Tamandua tetradactyla: one gene and its partner. The protein of the gene in region 1 purifies or fractionates together with the protein of each later gene. This does not show direct contact. Links are inferred from orthologs where the notes say so. Each region holds a gene or a part of one and is shown on either strand. Other genes may lie near its edges. The genes, in order: LYN and ANKRD54.

What was found.
Region 2: the proteins of LYN (region 1) and ANKRD54 purify together in Homo sapiens (affinity purification with mass spectrometry; 3 studies listed by BioGRID and IntAct, with this or other methods). This does not show direct contact. The link is inferred for Tamandua tetradactyla from reciprocal best matches to the Homo sapiens genes LYN and ANKRD54.

What each region holds. Positions count from the first base shown.
Region 1 is NC_135332.1:99,478,255-99,487,455, reverse strand, and holds the start of LYN (tyrosine-protein kinase Lyn), read right to left. Parts: upstream 4,396-9,201; 5' UTR 4,147-4,395; intron 1-4,146. UniProt on the Homo sapiens protein: Non-receptor tyrosine-protein kinase that transmits signals from cell surface receptors and plays an important role in the regulation of innate and adaptive immune responses, hematopoiesis, responses to growth factors and cytokines, integrin signaling, but also responses to DNA damage and genotoxic agents.
Region 2 is NC_135333.1:30,207,378-30,216,777, reverse strand, and holds the start of ANKRD54 (ankyrin repeat domain-containing protein 54), read left to right. Parts: upstream 1-5,644; 5' UTR 5,645-5,809; coding exon 5,810-6,134; intron 6,135-6,205; exon of another isoform or gene 6,206-6,381; intron 6,382-7,621; coding exon 7,622-7,669; intron 7,670-9,400. UniProt on the Homo sapiens protein: Plays an important role in regulating intracellular signaling events associated with erythroid terminal differentiation.

The DNA of each region.
Region 1 (9,201 bases):
AAAAGGTCAACTCATCAAGTTTAATTCATGGTTTGAAGAAGACATTAATAAATGATAAATAGGCTTTAGAAGACAGTGGGGAAAGAGTTGAAGAGGGGAGTTAGAGAAAGGAGATTGGAAATATACTGAGGATGAATAAAGTACAATGAAATAAACACTTTGGAAGAGTTCTATACAAATGAAAACTATATCCTAAAGATAAATACAAACTTTCAAGAAATAGCTCCATGGTAAAAAAAGGAATGCTGACAGCTTATTCAGTAATAAGGGAAAATGGAAAGTACAGACCAACAATGAAGAAAAAGATCAAAACGAAAAAGCTCAAAAGCTTATACCTCTAGCCTCCTATATTCTGGAGCCGCTAGAAGGAAAAATCTGAGATGATGGTATGGCAGCCCATGACAAACTCTGAGTTCTGTCCTGTAACTATTTGTTGAAGAGTGCTTTGAAAACTATTGGTTTTTTCTTTCCTTGCTTTATATGTATGCTATATGATACAATTAAAGAAAGTAAAAAAATAAAATAAAATAAAAAACTTATACCCCTTGACACTTGTCAGCTCAGCTGAGCCTTTCAAACACATTATCCCACATAGTTATGAAACTTGCTGTTCTATCTTTGAAGAGAGCCCTTCCAGTTAAATTAACCCAAAGGATATCTAAATAAAGGTCCAAATCTTTAAACTAACCTATCCCAAATTTTCCAATTCTTCAACTGGCAGATTTTCATATAACATTTTCTACAGTTGGGCTTTGTCCCAAATTGGGAACTAACTCAAAATAAATTTCAGAAATAATGATAGAGTGAACTCAAAGTTTCACAATTTAAATGCCAGGAAACAAGGCAGCTGCAAGAAATCTTTCAATATTTCTGACTGAAAAAACAAACAAACAAAACTTCCTCTTCCTTATCCTTGTCTTGTGGAAGGGCTATGGGCTCAGAACTGCACCTTATGGGGAGCAGATGCTCAGAAAACAGTGCGTGTTTTCATGTGCATTCTATGAGCCCTAGGTTCTTTATATTTTTCACTTCACATCATGGTCTTCCTGGTATTATACCCACCCATAACGATCTCAGGTCCATGAAGGAGGAATTTCTAGTAAAGGTTTGAAGGCAAAATTGCAAAATATGGCTTCGGCCAACCAAGCAGTCCAAGAGCTGCTCCTACAAAAGCAAGATAATGAACTTTTAGCCATAATCAAAGCTCCCTGCCCCGCAAACAGGAAGCAGAGCCAAAGGCACAGAAAGTCTTCTCCAAAAGACAGCTGAGCATCCTCATGCATGGAACTGTCTGTTGTGGGTCTTGGCATTAGCTGCTTGTTTCGATAATTACCAGTCAATAGAAGAAATCACCTAGATTTCAAGTCTGCCTTGAAAATGCTTACACTGTTGTACATGTTACTGCATAATTTTTTTAAAACACTTATTAAAGATAAGTTAGTTCCTCTTTGTTTTTAAGTTACTGAGTCCTTACTTCGGAGTCTAAAGGTAAGCAAGTGGGAAAAGCTCTAACGTTGGGGCCAGAAGACGTTTCTATCACTTGATTCCGTGCCACTGAACCAGGCCTGTGATCCTGACCCACAATCTCCCTGTCCAGCAGGGGCCAGGAAATGTTCAAGTGAAACCGAACTCCAGGAAGCTTCAGAGCCCCTGGCAGGCGAAAGGGTTAGCCCATCATCACTAAGGAGAGGTCTGAGATGCAGCGCTGTTGTCAGACAGGTCACTAACCAATGTCACGACCGATACTGTCCGTGAGCCTTTAATATTAATCCTAATACTGAGTATATGGAGGCAATTGAGATAATCAGTACCCATGAGCCTAAGTGTTCCAGGATGTGTGAATGTACACGTTGTATTCTCTGTGCACAGATTTAAAATTCATGTAAGTTTGTTAACAAATAATATGTTTTCATTTGGTTCTGTATATTAACCTGAACCAAATGGAACCCCAAATGTTTTGATGATTTATTTTTTAATACAAAATGCACTTCATGGAATACATACATATATAGAATACAAACATATATACGACTTGGAAGTCATAAAACTGTTGAACCACTTTGCTGCTTAAAGGGAGCCACTGGAGATGGTGGAGGTGGGGGCACACGACAAAGTCTCCACACACCTTTGGAATATCAATGACTACAAGATCAAGTGGGTCTTTTTGACTGGATAACCCCACCTTTGCAGGACACACCCCCAAATCAAGACCTTCCTTCTGGTGGATCAAGAGAGACGAGCCCTGAGTAGAGATTCCCACTTGTAGTAGAATTTGAGGTAACTTAGAGTCAACAGGTCCCCCAAATTCCCATTTTAGAAACAAGACAGAAAGGGCCAAGAGACTAAGGATGCCTTAAGGAGCAGCCTATTCACCCGTCCCCATGTGTCCTTGACCTTGCTTGAGGCAGGCCCTTCATTCCTTCTTTCAAGCCATCCCTATTGTGTACCCAATGTGTGCAGGGCACCAGGACAAAACAAATGTCACTCCTCCTTCCATGGAGCTTCCACATGAAAACAAACCATGAGGTGGCTTTGGTTCCCACCATGAGGGAAATGTTGGCTAATTAATGACACAACCTATTTATCCCAAATCACAGTTCCAGCAACGCTGGATGAGACCAAATCTCAGTTTCCTGGCTCCAGTTTTCTTTTCATTTATAACAGCTCCCCTCTACCCTTTAACCAGAAAGAGAGATCCCCACCCTACATCCAAAGAGGATCAGCCATTAAGGGCCCCAGTCATAAAATTACTTTTCTTCAAGCCTCAAAACACATAGTGCCCAGTGAAAACCAAGGCACTGACTGATTCTCGCCCTTCCCCAGCAAAGTACACCTTAGAATGGACTTGAGTCCTTAGTAAGCTCCTTTACTCTCCCAGTGCCTGCTAGGAGTTGGCCCTGCTTTAGCTGCTGACAGTACAGGAAGAGCTTCCTTGCCTCCTGTACATGACCTCTGCTGGGGGCAAACAACAAACAACAAGCTAAGTCAGCCTTCTTTACTGGCTAGTTCTTAGAGCATCAGATTCCTGGTTCCTGCATTGGGACAGCAAATCCTTTATTGTTTTAAGCAAATATTTTGGGAGAGCAAAGTCTCAGCATGGAAGATGATGGGTACATCGGAAGAGACCTTGGTTTAAAACCGCCAAACTGTAAAGATCCAAAGAGCCTCATTTTTACAGACATATTTATTTCCAATAAGTAGTAATAACCATGCCACCTTATGGAATGCATACTGGGTACGAGGGGCTTTATGCTCCATAGTTCAGGCGGTAGATGGTTTCCTCTGACAGATGAGGAAACCAACAGGGAATTTCAATAATGACTCCAGTTCACCCACAGCTAGGAAACTGCAACGCCCGCATTCCAGGCTTCTGAGATGGCAAAGAAGTTGGGAGGATTTGGGATAATTAAGACTCGCACTCCGGATATCCAAAGAAATTCCACTGGACCACGCGGCTATGACATGGGCCCCTCCAGATGCAAAGCCTCCGACAGTCCGCCAAGATAACAAACGACAGTAGGAACCGATGCTTACACCCTTCCCCCAAGGCGAGGAAAGCAACCCCTGAATTCTTAAAATAACCATCCGCTTCCTCCCTAACGAGGCATGGGGCTGCCCATCTGCAGGCGGAGAGGCATCGGTTCAGTGGGAGGGCGCGCAGTAGCTCCGCAGAAGCCCCTGGACGTCCCGCTCCTCCCCGGAGTCACCAAGGAAGCAACTGCCCAGGCGGCCTGGGAGGGGGCGGGCAGGTCGAGGCTCTCCTCTTACCTTTAGAGACCCGGGACCCAGCGGGGAAACCCGATCACGGCATCCGAGAAGTCCCCGCCAGGGTCCCACGCGCGCGCCCGGCCCTCGTGGAGAGGAGGAGACGCTTGCGGCGCGCAGATAGTGGCTGGACAGGGGACAGCAAGCGCCCCCTCCACCCCCATGCCCGGTGCGCGCGCCCACCCTGCGCGCAGGACCTCCCACCACGCCCCTACGCTGCTCGGCTGCAAGACACCTGCCGAGAGCCCGCCCACGTACTGGATCCCCGCCGGGCCACACCACCCACAGATTGACGGCATCTCGGGGCCCCTCACCGGCAGGGCCCCACTCCCGTGGCCCTCTTCGCTGCCCACGCCCGCGATTCCCTTGCGGTGTACTCACCTGCTCGCGGTGCAAGTTGCGAGGCTGCAGCGGCAGCGGCGGAACTCCACGGTGACCCGGCCGCGGAGCGGGGACGCGACGGGGCGGCCCGGCCCGGCCCGCGTGGGGAGGGCGGCGGGCCGGGGCGAGGAGGCGGGAGAGGGGCGCGCGGGTCTGGCGGAGATGACGCCGGACCCCGGTACTGCGGGCTGAAAACTACGGCGCGTCTGGCCCTGAGGCGCCACGGCGGGGAGTGAGCGGCTGCGAGGCCCGGCGCGGCGGCAGAGGAACTGGCTGTCGCTGGGCTTGGCCGAGAGGTCCCAGGGACTTCCTGGTGCTCGGATTTGCATACTGCTCCCGGAGGGCGGGGAAGTGACCGTTTGGCCCCTGCCCAAAGTTTGGGTCTTTGGTGCGGCTGTCGCGCAGTGCTTTAAAGGCAAAGAAACCTGGTGTTCCAGGGCGCAGCTAAGGAGGTTAGAACTTCTCCCTGGAATTAGACAGAAGCAGCTTTCAGGGACCTCGTTTGGAGAGCGGGACTCTGGCTTTGTGGGCACATCCAGGGAACCTCTCGCCTCCTTCCTTTCCCCCCAGCCTACTCTCCGAGGTGCTCCTGGGAACAGATGGGGCGCTTTCTGAACCTTCCCAACATTTGCAGCTCTCTAGAAAAGGATGAGATGTGCTCAGGACTCAGTGAATCTTACTCCACACAGAGTAAGCCCCTTGAGGCTGTACACAGAGGCGTCACATTTTGCGGGAGAAGAAGGAGTTTCTGAAGTTAAATTAACTGGCGAGTTGCTCAGCTCCTCAAAGCCTCAGTTTCCTCAAGGGAAAACGGAGGCAAGAATGCCTAGCGCTCAGTTACCGGGACGATGAAATGCCTTACGCCAAGGGCTTGCTCTGTGATAATTTCATTGCCACTGTCTGCATGGGAGCATATAGCACCACCGTCCTTGGCACACAGCTGATGCCTAACCAATGTTTGCTGAAAGAACGACTGCCTTTCTAAACTCAGAGTTCACCTCAGCAAATGCCATTTACAAATCAAGATGTGAGATTTGTCTCCATCATAGTCCATGTTATAAGCGGTATTTCATTCCTTAGGATCCCTCGATTGCACTACATTGTAGAATTTTCAAGGAAATATATTGGAGAAATGGATCTTTGCATTTATAATAGCAAACACTTACATAGCGCCTAATGGACTCCATACAAAGTCCAAAGCATGTTGGACATACTACCTTCTCTCCTTCACGGTGTTCTCAAGAGACTGGCCCCACGGGAGAATGTGGTAGAGTAGAACACCCTGAAACACAGTCTACACAGCAGTCATTGGTTACTAATAAGAAAGTACTAAGGTTTGCAAACTACTTTCTTACAAGAATAAAAAGAAGTTGCTGATAGGTCTGATGTTCACTGGTAGGCAGTTCAGTTTGTTGCCCACTAAAGAGAAGGGGTGGAGTCACCCTTGGGAAGGTGTTGAACATTGAATGAAATCTATGATGGATTCTTAGCAATTCACTACTCAGGGGTTCATTTCTAGACTTCCTCCAAAATGACCTCTTAAAATATTGGCCCCAAATTAAAATGTTTACATAAGGGAATCTTATCAGTGAGTCCTTGAGATTCTTTGGCTAAAGGCATGTGGCAAGCAAGAATAGAGTACACAAATGTTAGGCTTTGGTTGATCTCCCTGGAATGTCCTGTCGTCTCTGGTAAAATGTGTCTTAGAGTGAAGACGAAAGCATCCTCAGACAGATGCAGGCTTGCACCCAGCTCCAACACTTCTAATTCCTTGTACTTGAGGATCCTAGCTGAGCTCAGCTCTTTCTTCTTACCTGGGGGGAGGGGGTGCGTCCATCCCCACCTCTCAGGCTATATTTGTGCATCCTGAACACTCCCTACCCATTTTCTATCTTCATATTTCTTCTTTGAAGTCCCATGTACATTCCATTTCTTGGAAAGTTAGATTTAAAGCCCTCATTGGTGACCTTCTTTCCAGGACACCTATTGCATTTATACTGTGCAACATTGATTTTAAGCTTGATTCAGGTGTTTCTTGGCATTGCTTGCTTTTGTTTCATGGGTCAGCCATCACCCCCCCCACTACTGGAAAATAGTCACCTCCTCTCAGGAAGACATTGTTTCTTATATTATGTTTCCCCCTGTACCTGGCAAATGTTCTGTTAGTTGCTTTAAAATTGTTATTAGTATGGATTGATCAGTTAATTGAGTAACTGATGGGTTTCAACAGTGTTCTCTAAATTGAGTACATTATGGAGGATGAACATACAGAGGGAGATTGCATATCCACCCAGGCTCCCTGGATAGGGTGAAGGTGGGGGACATCCTTTAGTAGGAAAGAAGGGGGAAGTGGCGAAAACGGCATTAGCCATTTTATATATTATATATTCTTATATATATATATATTATACATATATATACATATACATATATATATGTAGGTATTTTATTTCCCTCCTAGTGGATGATGGATATTCTTATATCCATGGATATCCATCATCCATTCATATAAGAATATCCATCATCCACTAGGAGGGAAATAAAATACCTGCCTTCAAGTACATTGTCCTTTATCATGGAGCCTGTTCTAGTTTGCTAGCTGCTGGAATGCAACACACCAGAGACAGATTGGCTTTTAATAAAAGGGGATTTATTTCATTAGTTCTTCAGAGGAAAGGCAGCTAACTTTCAACTGAAGTTCTTTCTTGTGTGGGAAGGCACAGGGCGGTCTCTGCTGGCCTTCTCTCCAGGTCTCTGGGTTCCAACAGCTTTCTCCGGGGTGATTTCTCTCTGCACTCCAAAGGCCTGGGTTGAGCTGTGAGTGCAGAGATGAGGTATGCTGAGCTTCTTGGGCTGTGCTATGTTGTGCTCTCTCATTTAAGCACCAGCCAGTTAAATCGAACATCATTCATTGGGGCAGGCACGCCTCCTAGCTGACTGCAGATGTGATCAGCAACCGATGAGGTTCACATGCCATTGGCTCATGTCCACAGCCACAGAACTAGGTACCTTCACCTAGCCAAGTTGACAACTGAATTTAATTACCACAGAGCCTCACCACCCGATGACTGTTGGCAGCATTTACAGCCAGGATGAATGATTTTGGTGCGCAATTTGGTGTTGGTCCCCAGGCACCTGGTCCTGCAGCCTTCCCCTGTGGCCACAGTGTGGCCCTTCCCTGGTGACCTGTCCTTTTGGTACCCTGCTGTGAGCCTCCCTCAAAAGGTTCTGATTTCTTGGCCCAACTCAGGAACTCCTGCAAGTTGTTTGCTGGTTGGCTTTGTGGGAGAAGTGGAGGGAATGCTGATGGAACTCTCTGCCTGACTCTTACAACCATGTGGGCCTGGCAAACCCCAGACCTATGGCCCAAGTAGCCAGTAACATAGAGTAGGATGCTCAACTGGCTCTGCAGAAGAATCTCCGGGGAGCTAAGATAGCCCCTTGCCCAGGCCAGACCGAGATCCAGTAAGTCCAAATCTCTGGGGTGGGACCTGGCATCAGAGTTTTAAATTACTCTCGGTGGTTCCGATGAACAGCCAGGATTGTGAACCCCTGGGGAAGCGCATCAATCAAACAGCCTGGGGGAATGTGGGGTATATTTACCAAGCAAATGAGTTTCAATTTATCATCAGTGTTCCTAATTAAATACAATAGAAGCCCTCTCATCTGATATACTTGGGACAGATGAAAAAAGTTGTTTTAAGTGAGGACGTCATAAAAATATTAAAAAAAAAAAAAAAAACTGTGCTAGGGACTGAATCATGTATTCCATAAAAGATATGTTCAAGTCTTAATCCATTTTCCTCTGTGTGTCAACCTATTTTTAAATAGTATCTTTGAATATGTTAAGGTGGTCAAGGTGTGGACTCATTTGTGAACAGGATCTTCCTCTTTAAAGATAGAAGGCTGAATCAGGGTTGGCCTTACTCCATATATCCATAATTGAATATGCGAGAGCAGCCAGAAATCAGAGAAAGTCATAGGAAGAGACCAACAACATGGCCATCACCAGAACTCTACCACCTCCAAGAGAAGCATGTCCTTGCTGCCTTCTTGATTTTGGACTTCTGCCTTCAAAACTGTGAGACAATAAATGCTTGGTATTGAAGCCAAGCTGTCTGTGGTATTTGTCATGGCAGCTTCGGCAAACGATGTACCTTAAACATTTTACTTGAATTTAGCTATAAGATAATTTCTTTTCCTTGCCAATCTCTCAGGTAAGGCCACTATGTTTCCTTTGAGCATTAAATCCCTAATTGACACGCTGCATCATCTTTCTTACCTGAACCACGGCCAGGATACTGCAGTTCTGTTTGCCATTCATAGCTTTGCAAAGCTATCTCACTGCTCAATCTCTGAGTCTGAAGCTTCACTCATACCTAATTCAGCAGAATTATTTGCTCTTCCATTTTACCCATGACTGTTTCCAAATCTTCAACTTTGCACAGAAACAATTTTTTCACTCATTTTAAAAGTTTCTATTTAACTCAATCACGAAATTGCCATAACAGGCACAATTGCCATAAAAACAACTGGCTTTTGGGAAAGTATGCAAGTGTTCCAGACAGTGGAGTAGTCCCTTTGCTAGAGGGCTGGAGCAGTACTTTGACAGGGGAAAGTTTGGGAAACTTCCCAAAGTTGAAGGGAAGAGGTTAATTTCTGAGGCATCCTTATTAAAGTCTCCTAATCCATCCTTACAACCACTTATAAGTATGGGTCATTTTCTACATTTTATAGATAAGAAAACAGTCTCAGAAAGTCAAATGATTGGCTCAAGTTCATCTTGCTGAAGTGGTTTGGGCTGGACTCTATCCCTTTCTGTCCGGCTGATTGTCATCAAAGTCTGGCTTTGTTACCCTTAAATCACAGTAGCTTCCCCAAGGTTTGGTTTTCTTAGGCTGAAATGCCACAGAAAAAGTTCAATGTCCCCGAAGGCAACAAAACTGAATCTCACAGAGTCCTCTGTTCTTTTACCTTACAAGGGAACGATCAAGCTAACTGAACAATAGAAAACTGAGCCAAATACTAATGATAATGCATCAATCATGTAATTAG
Region 2 (9,400 bases), on another chromosome or scaffold:
CAGAAGCATCCTATGGATCATCTGGTATAGAGGTCACTAAAAATCCAAACTAAGACTGCTAGATATAAGAACTACATGAAATAGCAGGCTGTTTCCTACCTGCATCTTTTATTTTTTAATTTATTTTGTATTATCAAACTAAAACAACATACAAACATGAACATTCTTTTTTAGAAAAAATTTTATTAATAAAACTAATCAACATACAATATGAACATTCTTTTTTATCACATAGTTGAATATTCATCATCATGATCATTTCTTAGAACATTTGCATCAATTCAGAAAAAGAAAAAGACAACAGAAAAAAAATTCATACATTCCATACCTTTTACCTCTTCCATTCATTGGTCACTAGCATTTCAATCTACTAAATTTATTTTGACATTTGTTCCCCTTATTATTTATTTATTGTTTATCCATATGTTTTACTCATCTGTCCATAAAGTAGATAAAAGAAGCATCAGACACAAGGTTTTCACAATCATACAGTCACATTGCAAAAGCTGTATCATTATACAATCTTCTTCAAGAAATATGGCTACTGGAACACAGCTCTACATTTTCAGGCAGTTCCCTCCAGCCTCTCTATTACATCTTGACTAACAAGGTGATACCTATTTAATGAGTAAGAATAACCTCCAGGATAACCTCTCCACTCTGGAGTCTCTCAGTCATTGACATTTTGTCTCATTTCTCTCTTCCCCCTTTTGGAAGAGAAGGTTTTCTCAATCCCTTCCTGCTGAGTTCCAGCTCATTCTAGGATTTCCTAACTGCATCTTAACTTGTATTCTTTCTTTCATCATAAACATTTAAGGTTCTTGTCCTTGCCCACAAATATTCACTCATTCTAAAAACACAAGGCCCTCTCTCTGTAATCTAAAAGAACAATTCTTGAATTGTTAAAAATATAATTCTCATGTTTATATCTTTTTCATTAATTTTATTTTATAATTTCCAAGATTTGAAAACATTCCATATAGCAACGACTCCTGCTTCTACCCTCCCCGTAGCCTGGTAACCCTTAATCTTCTTTCTGTTCTCTGCTATTTCTAAATATTTCATATAAGTGAAATCACAATATTTGTCCTCATGTGCCTTGCTTATTTTGCTGAGCATAATGCTGTCAAGGTCTGTCCATGTCATAGCGTGTCTCAGAATTTCATTCCTTCTTACAGCTGAATAATACTCCGTTGTAGGTATGTACCATATTTTATTTATCCATTCTTCTATTAATGGACACTGGGTTGTTTCTGCCTTTTGGCTATAGTGAATACTGCTGCTGTGAACATTAGTGTATGAATATCTGTTTAAGTCCCTGTTTTCAATGAACATTAGTGTACGAATATCTGTTTAAGTCCCTGTTTTCAATTTCCTTGGGTATATACCTCGGAGTGGAATTTGCCAAATCATATACCAATTCTCCATTTAACTTTTTGAGGAAATGCCATACTGCTTTCTACAGTGACAGTACCATTTTACCTTCCCATCATTTTCTATATTTTGATTGGGTTGGTAGGTACAGGAGTGTATATATTTGTCAAAAATCATTGACCTGAACACTTAAAATGTGAAGGTGTTATCATATGTATGTATTTTATGCTTGAATAAATTTGACTTTTCAATTATAAGTAAAATTGACAACAAACGAACCAAAAATTATTTTAGAACTTATATGATAGACAAAAAATATATACTCTTAATAAATTAAAATATAATTCTATCACAAATAGAGAGTGTGCACATAGTAGAGCTTATTTAATCCTTAAAGGAACCAACAGTGTGACAGAGCTGGCTCGAAAAGAATTTGAGGATGGATAGTTATTGAGCAAAGAAAAGCTGTTAGATTGCTAAGTTAGATCCAAACTTAAATCATGGTCTAAGGGCAATAAAATTGTAAACATTGGGATTATCTTCTCCGTTGGAAAAATAAACATCATTGTACCTTATCCATTTTCTTCAAGTTAACCTCTAACTTTACGAAATTCTAAGACAATTCTTGGTCTAAATCAAGTGTTAATCAAAGTTAAGTTTTCCCCAGAGAGTCTGATGTCTCTTACCTGGCCTTATTAAAAAATGCTCTAGCACAATATTAAAAATGCTCAAGCCCAATATTTAAAATCACAGGATCCCCATTCGCTATATTTTCAGATATTAGGTAATTTCCCCACACACTAGTTTTCATTATACTACTTTTAATAAAGACAGAACTATTTTAATTTCCTGTTAACTCTACTTAAAAACAACAGCCAAGTATGACAATAAATAGCAATTGTCTTCAGCCTCGGCGTGGCAATAATAGGGAGTAGTGGGGACTCTAGCAAACCAGCGCACCATGCCCACTCAAAGGGGAGAGTTGCTATGCAGCTCCAGCAACTGTTGCCAAGTAGGAAAGCAGGCCTTGCTTTGCCAGAGATTCCCATTTCTAAGAGAACCTGTAAGTCAATATTTTTTTCTGTAAAAGCTATCAATCTTTAAATGCTGACAAGCAGTTCAAATTTCTGAACAGGTCGATAGGGTTTGGGAAAGAAAGAATGAAAGGAAACTCAACCAGCTATTTCTAGCCTAAGGGGCCAAAGATGTCAATATCTGACCTAAAAATAACCCTGTCAGATGGTAAGACTGAGGCCCAGAGAGGAAGACCTTGCCCAAGTCACAAAGTGGCAGATTGGACTTGGATTCCCAGGCAGGCAAAGACTTTTTTTTTTATTTGAGGTTATTATTTATTACCTATTAAATAATGCAATTTTTATTGGTAGGGTAGCTAGGGTTTGAAACTGGTTCTAATGTTTTTTTTTAATTTATTAATTAAAAAATTAAGAAACAAAATAAAACATCAACATACATAATTCACATCATCACTTAGTTGCATATTCATCATTTCTTAGAACATTTGCATTAATTCAGAAAAAGAAATTAAAAGACAATAGAAAAAGAAATAAAGCGAACACAGAAAAGAAAAAAAAAGATTATACCTACTATACCCTTTACCCCTCGCTTTCATTGATCACTAGCATTTCAAACTAAATTTATTTTAGCATTTGTTCCCCCTATTATTTATTTTTGTTCCATATGTTCTACTCCTTTGTTCACAAGGTAGCTAAAAGGAGCATCAGACACAAGGTTTTCACAATCACACAGTCACATTGTGAAAGCTGTATCATTATTCAATCATCCTCAAGAGACCTGGCTACTGGAACACAGCTCTACATATTCAGGCAGTTCCCTCCAGCCTCTCCATTACATCTTGAATAACAAGATGATATCTACTTGATGCATAAGAATAACCTCCAGGATAACCTCTCGACTCTGTTTGGAATCTCTCAGCCATTGACACTTTGTCTCATTTCCCTCTTCCCCCTTTTGGTCGAGGTTTTCTCAATCCCTTGATGCTAAATCTCAGCTCATTCTAGGGTTTTTTTCAATCCCTTGATGCTGAGTCTCAGCTTATTCCAAGATCTCTGTCCCTCGTTGCCAGGGAGGCCCACAAGACAATGTTACTGGTATTTTCTTTGTCTCCTATTAGGTGCTTTATGTTTTATTTGCTGACTGACCAAATATAAATGGCTCGTGTGTGAATGAATGCTTGCAACACCCTCAGGGTCAAGTTCCAGCCAGTGTGATGTGCCCACTGTCATGTAGGATTTGTATGGTCTTAGCCAGCATCCTACCCTTATTAGTACATAAGGTACATGTACATAACGTTTGTTCCTTTCCTCTGTTTCCTTCTAGCTACAAATAGGGTTGGATTTTGTCTTTACTGATTATGGGGCAGAGGAGAGTTCAAGTTCCAGTCTGAAACTCTGAGGCTAATGAACGGAATCCACACTCAAACACAGCTCATTCTTCCCATTCCAACATTCAAGTAATTCCTGCAACAGATGGAGGGCTGGGCCATGCGGTTTATGCCTCCACAAATTTGACTTTAAATTAGAAGTAAAATTAACAACCACCTCTGTTTGTTCAGGGATCCTGCTTAGATTCAAAGTTTTCTGCTGAAGCAAACATCTTGGTAGGCAAGATGGTGTGGAGATCAATCTTTCTCCTCTTGATAGGAGAAAGAAAACAGTTCCAAAAATAATTGGATCCAAATTAGGAAGGGTCTTAACTACCAGCATAAAGGGTTTAGACTTCAACCTGAACTCAGTGGGCAAACAAGTTTCTAGGAACTTGAAGAGATTTGCCAATTTAGGCAGCATAGATACTTGTCATTTGAGATTCTAAGAAGAGAGAATGGAGGGAAGACTGTTTTGAAGGTCATTACTTGGAAAAAGAGGAGGAATAATAAAGTTTTTTTCAGGGGTACATTCATCAGGAGTGAGGTGTAAATGCTCAGATATCACTTAGACTTCCTGGAGTCAGGTTTCCTGCAGGCTCTTCATTTATGAAAGAGGGGAGTGTGGCCTTGGGCGGTGGTCTGGATTCAAATGCCACTTTTAACTGTCTTGCTCTGTACCCTTGTACAGTTCACATAATATTTCAGGGCCTCAGTTTTCTGATCTGCAAAGTGGATATAATAATATCTAAATGTATATCAAGCCCTTGGTAAATGGTATATGTTCAATAATATTTGTTTCTTGCCTGTTTCCTTCTAGCTACAAGTGGAGTTGGCATGTGTCCTTACTTGTTATCGGACAGAGGAGGAGAGTTCAAATATACTATTTTTCTACAATGATAATTCTCATAACGGTGTCCCGCAGACACTACAAAATCTGGAAGTGCTTTTTTCAACTGTCAGGAAGATTACTTTTTAATTGGGTTGGCTGACAGTGAGAGGGTTTATGTGGTGGGAAAAGTCCTTGACCCAAGAACGCTGGGCATCCGTGAACAGGCCACTTGTCTCTGTGATTTTGTAGTGGGGCGCACCCTTACAATTTCAGTTCTTCATCTATAAAATAGGGAGGTTCCTCCTTGCCCACCTTACAGAAGTGTTTGCGGGGCACAAAGACGTGAGAATTCTTCCAAAACAGTAATGGTAAATTCACGGTTATCTGTCTGGTTGCAGAACACTTCCTTGCTCCCGGATTTGTCCCTGGGGACCGTGAGCAGCTCAGTGGGCACCAAGTCTGATCCTGTGTCCTGGACGTGCAGCCGCTCTGTGACCGACTCTCGGACTGAAGTGTCGCTGTAGTGTCATTACGTTAATTATAACGCTTTGTAAATCATTAGTGATCAACGCGCGGGGGGGGGGGGCGAGAGACCGCAGACTAAAGAGAATCTATCACCCTTAGAAACTATTACTCCACAGCCCCACATTTTGACATACTTTCACTTTCCTTCTTGGACCACGCATTGGGAAGAAGTTCTTTTTCTACGTTCACACTCCCTCCCTCCCCGCCTTCTTATCTTTCTTTGGTGAATGGCTGCTGCTCATCTAAATGTAATTGGCTCCAGCCCCTTCCCACTGTCTTTCCCATAATCCGACGGGGGAAAATTGAAGAAAAAAAAAAGAATGTCTTAGACTCTGCTGTTTTATTGGCTCCGGTAGCGACGTACGTACGCGTGGACCGTGGGCACTTCAAATTTTTTATTGGTTTCTTTGTCCGCCAGTCACAGTGCCAGAAACACTGTCCAATCCTTTCGTGCGTACTATGCCCTCCCTTCCCGATTGGCTGTCAGGGTTTAGGCTGGAAGGGCTATCATTGGTCCGGAAGACCCGAGCTCGTCCCCCGCTGAGGTGCGGTAGTTGCAGGCCGGGCCCGGTCTTCTGGCTCACTCGCTGACAGCGCGGCTTACGGCGGAGGGAAGTGGGTCGGTTGGTCTGTCGGGAACGAGGCTCCCGCGGCTAGGCCCGCGCAGAACCGTTACCATGGCAGCAGCCGCAGGGGGCGCGGAAGATGAGCCGCGCTCGGGCAGATCGAGCTCGGATGGCGAGTGTGCGGTAGCCCCGGAGCCTCTGACTGGTCCCGATGGCCTCTTCTGCTTCGCCGACTTCGGGGCGGCGCTGGGCGGCAGCCCGGGCCTCCCAAGTCGGTCGTCCAGCGGGGCCCAGTCCCCGCTGCGCTACCTGCACGTCCTGTGGCAGCAAGACGCGGAGCCTCGCGACGAGCTGTGCTGCAAGATGCCCGCCGGCCGGCTGAGGCGCGCCGCCAGGCCCCACCGCCGGCTCGGGCCCACCGGCAGGGAAGTCTACGGTGAGGAGCGGAGCGGGCTGGCGGAGCGCGAGGCAGGCGGCCCGTCCATGCCCCCCGCCCCTCCCCGGTACCCGGGACCCTGGCCTTCCCCGTCACTCGCAGCCTGGAACTCCGGGACGCCCGGGCTAAGGCCAGAATGACCCTAGCGCCTCCTTTCAATAACTGTTATTATAGTTGCTAAGGACCACGAATTTTTTTTTTTAATGTCTTACTTCTCCTAGCCTGTCATCACTGACCTTCACACTTGGTAGTTCCTAAGTAGAAACTTTCATGACCCCAAGTATTTATTAGTGGGCAATAAAAGGGAATACCAGAGAATACTTTTATTATCAGAGAGGGGAGGCCAGAGCTCGTAACCAAGTGGTACCCAGTTGTTTAGATGTGCAGACCTGGGATGGACTCCTCTACCTTAGGCAAACTGTTGAGCCTTTCAGCCTTAGTGTTCTCATTTGTACAGTGTGTACAATACCTGCTTTACAGGGCTATTGTGAGAGTTCAGTTAAATAATGAATGTATAACCATTAGACCTCCTTTGCTGTGTTCCAGACACTGTTTTGGGTGATATGGGGTAATTTTTAATTCTCACAGTAATTCTTTGAGATCCAGATATTGTTCCCATTTTATTGAAGAGGAAACCAAGGCACAGTGACATTGTTTTGCTCCAGGTCCTTAGCCAGAAAGAGGCTGGGCTGGTATTAGAACCCTGGTCTGCTTGACTCTAAAACTCCTACTTTGCTGTATATTTACCATACTAGCTTTTACATTTAATGGCTGACAGGGAAACCAAGACTCTGAAAGATTAAGAATGGGGCTTCTTGTGTCCCCTTTAGGACTAATCTGTGATTCCACCGATATTTTAGGGGTCTTGTGAAGATTAATTGAGAATTTGAAAGTTCTGTAAAACCATAAAGTGCTATAGGAATGTAAGGAATTTTTAACCACTTCCCTGATGACAAAGCTATTGCTTTCTACTAGCCTCTAAATAGAGTTGGTGTCAAGGGAGGGGAAAAATGCTTTTGCTTAAGAATGACCAAGTTTAGGTAAGTCATTTGGGAGTGACCTATTTTGGAGGAAGTATAATAAGAAGATCTGTGTAACTAGCTCAGAAAGAGCTTCTAAGTAAATTATCTATGTCATTTCATCTTTCCAACAATTCAAGACTGGCAGGGTCGAACTTAACCTTGTTTTAGAGATGATGGACCTGAGACCCAGAAGGGTTAACTAAACTTGCCCAAGTTCACCTCACTACTATAAATGGCAGAGCCAAGATCCAGAGGCCTTGGAGGATTTGCCAAGCATGCGGCCTCTACCCTAGTGCCACATTTCAAGTTTCTCCTTGTTCCCAGTGTAGTATCTCTTGTAGCTAGCAGTTTTCTTCCCTTTAGGTGCTATTATGGCTGAAGAGTGGATTATCTCCCATCCACTTTCTGCTTCATCACACCTGTTTTGTTTTTTTTTTAACTGGAATTCCTTTACTCTTGTCATAGCTCTGAAGAGGCTCCGGGACTCAGCCAATGCCAATGACGTGGAAACAGGTGAGTGTGCACATTGGGCCTAGCTCCAAGGACCTGTGGACTGGTTTGGGGAAGGAAAAATCCAATTAACACATTACCTGAGAAGAGAGTGCTTTAATTCAGCCTACCAGGTTACCCCTAACTCGAGGCTCACTTTGTTTACTGTGTAACTTTGCAGTCAACTTGTAGAAGGTGAATCTGGCTTAGATGCTTAGTCCCTTATGCTCCCCTATTACCCTGAACTTCCTGATGTCATATAATTTATCACCGCTGGGCTCATTGTCTGCTTTTACACCCCTGGCTCCCAGCGCAGTCCTCCGCAGAGAGTTATTGCTCATTTTTCAACCTCTGCGTTGGGAATGAACATTCAGCTTTAACTGCCAGGGGTCGGGTAGGCAGTGCCACCACCTTTAGCCTACTCACTGAGGCTTAATGGTAGTTGGGTCGGTCCCTGGTTCTCAAACTTCAGTTGACAGAGCATTTGAAAAGCATAGGTGGAGCTCATAGCAGAACACCACTGTTGTCTGGTTTTTTTTTTTATTATTGCTCTCCAGCATCTGCCAGCTGACAAGGCAGTAGCAACATCAAAGATGCAAAGAAAATTTATAGGAAAACATTTTTTAATTTTATCCACTAATATAATTCCCTCTGTGACTTGGGGAAAGTGATATATTCGTTTCCTATTGCTGCTGTAACAAATTGCCACAAACTTAGGAACTTAAAACAATGCATTTCTTATCTTAGAATTCTGTACGTCAGAAATCCAGCACGGGTCCCACTGAGCTAAAATCAAGGTGTCTGCAGAGCTGCATTCCTTTCTGGAGGCTCAAGGGAAAAATGTTTTCCTGCCATTTCCAGCTTGTCCTAACTACCCACGTTCCTTGCTTGTATTCCTCTTCAAATCCAGTCACAGTAGGCTGAGCCCTTCTCATGCCATCTTTCTGGTTCTGGCAGCAGAGACAGTTTCTCCAGTTTTAGGGACTCTGTGATTAGATTGGGCTCACCTAGAGAATTCAGAATAATCTTCCTATCTCCAGGTCCTTAACCTTCATCACATCTGCAAAGTTCCTTTTGTCATATAAGGTAACATAATCACAGATTCTGGGAGTTAGGGCATGGACATCTTTGGGGCCACTATTCTGCCTACCATAAATGGACATCATTCTGTTTTGATGGTGGGGAGCTATGCTCACGTAAAATCTGAGCATAGACTGAAGGCCATGGGCTAGAAGAGCTCACTGAGAGCAGGTGTGGAAGGAGGTCATGGGTGTTGCCCCACGGGCCCTTGAGATGGTTCCCCTATCCTGCCGTAGCAGCAGTGAACGTGCCCTAAACTGGAGAGATTTTTAACTCTTTTCACTGTTTTCTATGAACATTTTGGAATGTTTGGGAAGCAACTTAGATAGCTTTTCAAGAAAGAGGAAGAAGAATTTTCTTTTTAATTTTTTAAAAAATTATTATTTTTTTTAACAAACAAATACTTCCCCTTTCCCCAGCCTTTCAGCCCTTGGTAACCTCTAATCTGTTTTCTGTCTCTGTGAATTTGCTATATTTCTAGCCATCTCTTATAAGTGATACCATACAATTGTTTGTCCTTATTATCTCGCTTATTTCACCGAGCATAATGATTTTAAGGTTCTTCCATGTCTCATAACTTCAAGTTTACTTATGACTGAATAATAGTCTATTGTAGATATACACCATATTTTGTTTATCTGTTCATCTGTGAAGGATGTTTGGGTTTTTCTAGCT